Macaca fascicularis: one gene and its partner. The protein of the gene in region 2 purifies or fractionates together with the protein of the main gene of each other region. This does not show direct contact. Links are inferred from orthologs where the notes say so. Each region holds a gene or a part of one and is shown on either strand. Other genes may lie near its edges.

Evidence for each region.
Region 1: the proteins of TFAP4 (region 2) and FBXW11 purify together in Homo sapiens (affinity purification with mass spectrometry; 7 studies listed by BioGRID and IntAct, counting the BioPlex papers as one, with this or other methods). This does not show direct contact. The link is inferred for Macaca fascicularis from reciprocal best matches to the Homo sapiens genes TFAP4 and FBXW11.

What each region holds. Positions count from the first base shown.
Region 1 is NC_088380.1:178,666,950-178,670,972, forward strand, and holds part of FBXW11 (F-box/WD repeat-containing protein 11), read right to left. Parts: intron 1,964-4,023; coding exon 1,845-1,963; intron 288-1,844; coding exon 38-287; intron 1-37.
Region 2 is NC_088394.1:5,061,412-5,066,062, forward strand, and holds the start of TFAP4 (transcription factor AP-4), read right to left. Parts: upstream 2,867-4,651; 5' UTR 2,608-2,866; coding exon 2,519-2,607; intron 1-2,518.

The sequences.
Region 1 (4,023 bases), on a different chromosome or scaffold from region 2:
CAGGAGGAGGCTGGGTTATGACTGCAGACATACTTACTTTGATGGTCCTGTCACCAGAGGCGGACACAATGTACTTGTCGTCAAAGTCTACTACATTGACAGCAGCCCGGTGGCCAACCAGGACACGGCGTAAAGTGATATCGGTCGCAGAAGCCATGTCCCACACAGCAATGGAGCGGTCCTTGGAACAGGTCACCATCAGTCCATTGCTGAAGCGTAAGTGCAGTACGGCCTCATTGTGGTGGATCAATGTGTTAAGAACTTCACCCGTGTTCACATCCCACACCCTAGGAGAGAAGAGAAAAAGCATGATGCTTAATTACGGAGATAGCCAGGAAATGATTCTGGCATCTGAGTTCTGTCTGGGTCTGCAATGGCTTGGATATGGTTTGTCTGACTCTACCAAATCTCATGTTGAAACTGATCCTCAGGGTTGGAAGTGGGGACTGACAGGAGGTGTCTGGGTCATGGCGGTGGATCCCTCACGAATGACTTGGTGCCATTCTCATAGGAGGGAGTTCACTCTTAGTTCTGAGAGAACTGGCTGTTGACAAGAGCCTAGCAGCTCCGCCCTCTCTCTTGCTTCTCTCTCACATGTAATCTGCATACACTGGCTCGCCTTTGCCTTCTGCCATGAGGAGAAGTAGCTCGAAGCCTTCATCAGAAGCAGATGCTGGTACCATGCTTCTTGCAGAGCCTGCAGAACCATGAGTCAAATAAACCCCTTTTCTTTTATAAATTACCCAGCCTCGGGTATTCATTTATAGCAACACAAATAGACTAAGACAGGGTCCATTCTTAATGAACCTAAGGGCATGATTAAAAGGTGCCCCTAAAAAGCAATTTCTTTATTTGTTGAGAAGTGCTGAGATGGTTTCAGAAAAGGTGGCTAATTCTGGCTCTGCTCGAGTTTAGGTATATTTAGCAGTCAGGTATTCAGGGACGGTGTCTGCAGGCTCATGCTGATGGCAAAAGACAATTCCTCAAGAAAGCAGATTTTGTATTGAGTCTGAGATAAAAGGAAGAAGGAGCTTTGTTGGCTGAAGAACTGAGAATGGTTCCAAGCTTACAGTTCTTGTTGACCTCTGGCAGACCTCTGAGTCTATTATTTATCCACTGCAAACTGGGTAAGTCATGATGCCTCATCAATCACCACATCCACTTCTTTACTCAGCTGCTTTATGGACAAAGCCAGGGTCTCCCAACTGCTTTGTATGTCCAGGGATCTGGGGGCAGCACTTCCACATCATGGCTTTTCTGTAACCCTCATCTCCTAAGAGGACAAGTTCACACAGGGCAGAGGGGAAAAGACTCAGGCCTCTGAGGCTGAGACATGATCTCTGGCAGAAGCAGTGGTACGGAAGCACTGAGTCCAGGAGAGGATACCAGGCGTGCTTCAAGCAGGGGTGGTGATGCTTCAGGCAGGGGTGGTGATGCTTCAGGCAGGGGTGGTGATGCTTCAGGCAGGGGTGGTGATGCTTCAGGCACGGGTGGTGATGCTTTAGGCAGGGGTGGTGAAAGAGTCCGGGAGTGACTCCTGGAAGTGAGTGTCTCCTCTCTGCTCTGGACCAGTTTCCCAAAAGAAGAAAGCCAGCCTAATACTTGGTATATGCTCTTACAGGAAAGCATGTTGTCATCTCTATAATGAACAGCAACAGGAATAGAACACCCTTAACAAAAATTAGCTTTCCTGCCTAATTTGCTCAAACATATCTACAATAAAAGTTTGAAATACAGCATGTAAAAATGTAAGTGTGTGTATGCCTCTCCCAGAGGAGGATGTCAATCTCAGACTTTCTCAGGGAAGGCTTACAAGTTAAGACCAATGAAGCCAGATCACTCACCTCACCGTAGAATCTGAAGAGCCGGTTACAATGACACGCTCATCATACTGCAGACAGAGGACAGAGCCTGTGTGTCCCGTTAACACTTTCAAACATTCCAGGCTGGTTTTATCCCAAATCTATTGAGACAAGATTAGCCACAAACGATGATTTATTATACTATATTTTGATGAATGTTACTGTCCCACTTTATGTTCTGATTATAAAATAAAACACACTTGGGTTATAGTAAGTAAGAAACACTGAATATCAAACAGGTAAGAAATGACAAGTAGGAATACAGACAATAGTGATTAACTACAAGGATAGATGTGCTATTTTGCTTAATTTGAACCCTTAGCTATTGATCTTATTACACTTATCAACAGCCTCATAAAGGGGACTTTTTAAAAATAAAATCTGTGAAAAGAATTCGCTCACTGGCTGGGTGTTGTGGTTCATGCCTATAATCCCAACATTTTGGGAGGCAGAGACAGAAGGATCGCTTGAGCCCAGAAGTTCAAGACCAGCCTGGGCAACATAGCAAGTCAATCTCCATAAATGTGTGTGTGTATGTGTGTGTGCGTTTTTTTTTTTTTTTAATTAGCCAGGCGTGGTGGTGTGTGTCCCTGTAGTCCCAGCTACTCAGGAGGCTGAAGTGACAGAATTGCTTGAGCCCAGAAGGCAAGGCTTCAGTGAGCTATGATCATACCACTGTATGCCGGCCTGGGTGACAAAGCAGAACCCTGCTTTGTCATTTTATTTTTATGTCTCGTAAAAATAAATTAATTAATAAAAAAAGAACTGGCTCACTCTCTGGAAAGCAACATGACAACATTTAATTATTAAGACCTTTTACAAATGCATACCCCTACATTTACAAAAATAAAAAGTGGAAAATGAAACGTCCATCATTTCATAAAAGTCTCAAAGTAAACTATGAAAAGTGTTTAATGAGAAAAGATCATGCTTTATTACAAAGTTAAGCATTTTTTAAAAATCAGAATAAAAATTATCTATAAAGTGACACAATGACTGTATTTTAGAAAAGGAAAAAAGGATTAAAGGAGGTAAAATGTTGTCAACAGTTGTTTTCATGCTCTGAGTGTTCCTCTTCTCGCTTCTTTTACTGCCTCCATAGATTTGTCTTTTCCAGAATGTCACAGAGTTGGAATCATACAGTATGAAGCCTTTTTACATTGGCTTCTTTCACACAGTAATACATACTGAAGGTTCCTCCCTGTCTTTTCATGGCTTGATATACATTCCTTTTTCGTGCTGAAGATTATCCCATTGTCTAGATATACTACAGTTTATTTATCCATTCACCTACTGAAGGACACCCTGGTTGCTTCCAAGTCTGGGCAATCATCAGTAAAGCTGCCATAAACATCTGGGTGCAGGTTTTTGTGTAGATGTAAGTTTTTGACTCAGTTGTGTAAATACTAAGTAGCAACACTGCTGGATCATATGGTAGAAGTATGTTTAGTTTTGTAAGAACTGCCAAACTGCCTTCTGAAGTGGCTGTACCATTTTCTGTTTCCACCAGCAATGAATGAAAGTTCCTGTTCCTATTGCTCCACATTCTTGCCAGCATTGGGTGTTGTCAGTGTTCTGGATTTTGGCCATGCTAACAGGTGTGTAGTAGTGTCTCACTGTTATAATTCACATTTCCCTGATGACTTACAATGTGGAACATCTTTTCACATGCTTATATGCCATCTGTATATTGGTGAGATGTCTGTTAAGGTCTATGTCTTATTTTTAAAAATCAGGTTAATCTAATTGTTTATTTTCTTACTGCTGAGATTCAAGAGTTCTTTGTATGTCTTTTGCATATATTTTCTCTAGTCTGTGGCTTGTTTTCTCATTCTCTAGACAACGTCTCTCACAGAAATTTTTAATTTTAACAAAGTCCAGCTTATTAATTCTTTATTTCATGGGTCATGCCTTTGGTATTATATCTAAAAAGTCATCAACAAACTCAAGATCATCTAGATTTTCTCCTATGTTATACTCTACGAATTTTATGGTTTTGTGTTTTACAATTAGGTCTTTAATCCATTTTGAGTTAATTTTTGTGAAGTACATAGGATCTGTGTTTAGATTGTTTAGGGGTAAGGGAGGCAATATGGTATCTAATTGCTTCTGCCCCATTTGTTGGAGACAATCTTTTCTCCACTGTATTGTCTTTGCTCCT
Region 2 (4,651 bases):
GCACTGAACTCCATTCTGGGTGACAGAGTGAGACTCTGTCTCAAAAAAAAAAAAAAGACTGAATGTCATTTTAACAGCTACCAGGCACTTTCCATACTCATAGCTAATTTTCTCACAGGTGCACTGTTTTCCAGAGACAGAACCATTAGGCGACAGGTCCAAAACCTGCAGCTTGTGTGCGCAGCACTGTGCCCTACACTCCCCTCTGGCAGGCCTGGGAGACAGAAAGGGAAATCCCTGCTGGTCACTGAGGGATGGAGCAAAGCCCACCAGCCTGAGATGACCCAGAAAAGCAAATGCATCTGGCCAGAAAGTCCTGCCTAAAGCACACGTTTGATCCCGGACAGGCTTCCCACCTCACCCTGCAACCCCTACTGAAGATAAACAAATCCAGGACCCCCAACTCCACGCCTAATGCACAGCTGACAACTGTCTTGCAATGGACATTGCTGTGCCCAACCCTGGGCGAAGGCTCTACACCTTCAAGCCCTTGGCCTACCAAGATCCAGCTACTCTAGAGGACTGCTGGTATCCTCCAAAGGGAAGCTTGGGGCAGGGATAAATTGAAGCCAGAATCTTAGGGGGCCCTGAGAGGACTCACCCAAGGCCCAGGCATGGCAGCCAGAGGGCCCCCCAACCCTGCCCAGGATCAGGCCCAGAATGTCCTCTCCAGCAGGCACAGCAGCTCAACTGCACCACAGCAGGCTGCCCAGCCCAGCCCTGCAGCAGCCTGCAACCCCAGGACAAGGGTTCAAGTTCCAGCTCTACCACTTGCTGTAGTGGTCCCTTCTCCAGTCTCTGTGTCCTCTTTACACAGAATCAAAAGACACTTCCGACTCATAGAAAGATTATGACAATTCAATGAGAAAATTCTAGCAAAGTGAGCCCCCAGAACCTAAAAACAGCTCAACAATTTTTTTTTTTTTACTTATTATTACTGGGTCCTCCAGGTGGGCCTCGTGCAAGGGCCAGCCGGGCATCCCTGCCAGCTGCCAAACCCATCATCTGGCCCAAGTCTAGGTATTGACTGGGAACTTCAGAGTAGCCTTAAGGTGGGGACCCCTGGGGCAGCGGGTTGGGCAGGAGTTGTCTACACGTGTGCAGCAACCTTCCCTCCAGGCCGGATTCCGAGGCGCTAGTGACCACCAGCCTGTGCCACACCGGCGGGCTCCTCCTCCCTCAATCCCCGCCCAGACTGCCTCGGGCGGCAGAGCACGTGGCTCCAGCCCTGGGGAGCCATTTCGCTCCTGGAGCAGCGCGGCAGGAAAGGGGCCGCAGGTCCCAAACTTGCGCACTCCGTAGAACGCCCACCTCCCCCATACCCCGCCCGGGGGGTCGTTCAAAATGCAGATGTCCGGGCGCCAGCGATCAGAGTTCCAGGCATGTGCATTTTAAGAAGTGTGCGGGGTGGTTTAGCTGTGTGTGGTCCTTGAATCCATCACCCTTTGGGTTTCGAGCAACCTAGGACCAAAGCTTGCAAAGTGGCTTCTGGGGAGGCCTGCGGATCTCGGGCCACCCACCCCGCCTGGGGACCCGACGCTTTCGATTTACGGCAGGGGGAGGGGCGTTGGATGGGAAAGTTTGCAGAGGAAACCCACGTGCGGCGGGAAGCTGCCCTGCGAGGCTAGAGGCAGCCTCAGGTGTCCCCTCCCCAAAAGGCCTGCCCACCTGGCCTGCCTTGCCCACCGTGCCCATGGGTCCGAGCTTTGTGCAGGGAAAGCGTGGCCCAGGAGCGCCTACAAATCCCACAATGCTGCACCAGCAGGATGCGGAGAACTACAGCTCCCGCGAGGCCGCGCGCAGAGGTCCGCCTACTCCAAGAGGGCTGCAGAGTCACGTCCAGGCCTCGCTAGTAAACAGCGCCCGGGAGCGGGCGGGCGAGCGAGCGGCAGCCAACGTGCCCCGGGCCGCGGCGCCCCTACCGGCCGCGCGGGCCCCTCGGGGCCCGCCCACCCCCCACACCCACACGCGAGCACGCCCCCAACCCCGCTGCAGCCCCACTCTGCAAACACGCACAGTGCCCGGCTCCCCGCCCCCACCCCGCGCCGGGAGCCGCGGCATGGCTGCATTGTAGCCGCCCTAGCTACACCCCCACGCGCGCCCCGGCCCCCGAGACCCCCTTGGATGGGGACGACCTAAGATCGCGAGGAAGGAAGGAGAGGAAGGAAGCCGCCGCGGGAGGGGGAAAGAGGAAGCGCGGGGGGGAAGGCCACCAGCACCAAGCATGGCCGGGACTGCTGCAGAACCACGTGGGTCTGTTTGCAATTTACAAACGTTGCGACTCGCCCGCCTGCAGCGGACAAAAGTGGCCGGGGCCGCTTGGGGCCCCCATGCTCCAAGGGAGGAGGGTCCCGGGGCGGCGCGAACCCGGCGCGTGGGGCTGCAGCCGTCCCGGCAGCTAAGAAAGGCTAGCGGGGTCGGCGGCGCGGGCCATGCGTGCGCACACGCGCGCCCGCCCGGGCGGGCTAGCCGGGGGCTGCAATGGTAGGAAGGGGGTGGGGGAAGGAGGAGTACACACCTACAGAGCCCTCCTATCACTTCTTTCTCTGTTTTCCTGAAATGTTGCAAAGAGGGCACCTTCTGAGTGGGCACCATGAAATACTCCATAGCGATCGGCCCCCCTCCTCTGCACGAGCCAGGTCCCGCGATCAGCCGGAGAATGCAAGATGGAAATCCGAATCAAAGGGCAGCGCCGGACGGAGGTGCAGAATCGGCCGGTCCCAGATGCTGGCGGCGGCGGCGGCGGCGGCGGCGGCTGCGAGGGGAGGGAGGCGGGCGGGAGGGGCGGGAGGGAGGTCTCTCCGGCCTGCCTCCCCGGGCGTGTGTATGTGTGTGTGTGTGTGTGTTTGCAGCTGATCAGATGTCTGTTTCAAGGCGGGAAACAGCTGGTGAAAACTCAGCACTCCCCCGGCCTCCTTCCGCGGAGTAAGGAATTGCATGTAAACAAAGGACTATTTGCAGCGCCCCCCAGGCGGCGCGAGGCCGGGGCGAGAGGGGCGCGGGCCCCCGGGGACCGGCTGCAGCCGGGGTCTGCAGGCCTCTCGCTGGGCACAGGGGGCCGGGGGCCGCGGGCGGGCTTGGGGGGCGCGGCGTGAATGGAGCGAGCTGCGGCCGAGCTACATGCGCCACTATGGGTGATGAGGTCCATCAGCTGACAGGTTGGCAAGCGTTGAAAAAAAAAAAAAAAAGGCCAGCCACCGCGCGGGGAGGCCAGCCTGTGCAGCCCGGGGTCCAGCGGCGACTGCCCAGTGCAGGGTCCGCGCGCTCGGCCGGCCCGCGGGGAGGAGGGGGCGCGGCTGGGTCGGGCGTGCTGCGGCAGCAAGGAAGGCGGCCTGGGGTTCGCGCTTGGGGCTTCTGCTTTTTCACCATTGCAACTGCACCGAGCGGAGCCTCTCCGGTGTGCTCCCTTCGAGCCAAGCCCAGGGCCCCCTGGAAACTTGCGTCACAGCCACCGCTTCCCACATGTAACTTGGGGCTGACTTCCGAGGCCGGCCAGCCTCCTCTCTCCCTCCCTGCTGAGCTGCGCGCCGCTGGACGCACGGCAAGGACTCCGGATCCTGGGAATCCTGGACCTGGCGAGGGGACGGCAAAGGGCGCCTCGGATGCTGGGGCCGCCCTAGGAAACCCGGGCCCCCGGCGGAGAGGGGAAGGTGGAGGCGGGCCCGAACGGCAGCGGCCCCCGGGCCCAGGCTGCCGGCGCTGCCGGGAGGTCTGCTGGTTGCTGCCGGGTGTCCTGCTATTCCCCCCAGACCCCCACTGTTCCCTCCGCGGGCTGAAGGCTGCAGCTTCTCATTCATAACAAAGCCCGAGTGGGACTTGCACCTCCGCCAGGGTGCGCTCCCTACGAGGGGGTGACGACTTAGGGCAGGGACGGGGACCCTGGCGGCGAGCTTCCGTCCTCCGCTCGCACGCCCCACCTTCCGGCCCCAGGCCCTCCCTTGGCTCCTGGAGGGTTGGCTTCTGGCTCAGGAAGCCCACGCCTGCCTTGGAATGTCCTGGATCCTGCCCACAGCCTTCCAGGTTCCGCCTAAATCGCGCCTCCTAATTTGACTTATTCCTACTAGTAACAATAGTTACTGTTATTATTGGGAAATATTGTTATTAGATGTTGCCAGCACCCGGTGGATGCAGAACAGTTTTGCATACATGCTCTCCAATCCTTGAAGCAACCTGTTAGGCAGTTTCTCTAAGGAGAGATCCCAGACCACTTCACAAAAAAAGTCTCTGGAAGGCTTACTATATTTTTATTTAAAACAAACAAACAAACAAACTTTCGGCCGGGTGCGGTGGCTCACCCCTGTAATCTCAGCACTTTGGGAGGCTGAGGCAGGTGGATCACCTGAGGTCGGGAGTTCAAGACCAGCCTGACCAACACGGAGAAACCCTGTCTCTACTAAAAATACAAAATTAGCCGGGGGCGTGGTGGCGCATGCCTGTAATCCCAGCTACTTGGGAGGCTGAAGCAGGAGAATCGCTTGAACCAGGAGGTGGAGGCTGCAGTGAGCCAAGATCGTGCCATTGCACACCAGCCTGGGCAACAAGAGCGAAACTCCATCTCAAAAAAAAAAAACAACAACAACAAAAAACTTTTTACTGTTTTTCATGAATAGAGATGGGAGTCTCACTATGTTGCCCAGCCTGGTCTTGAACT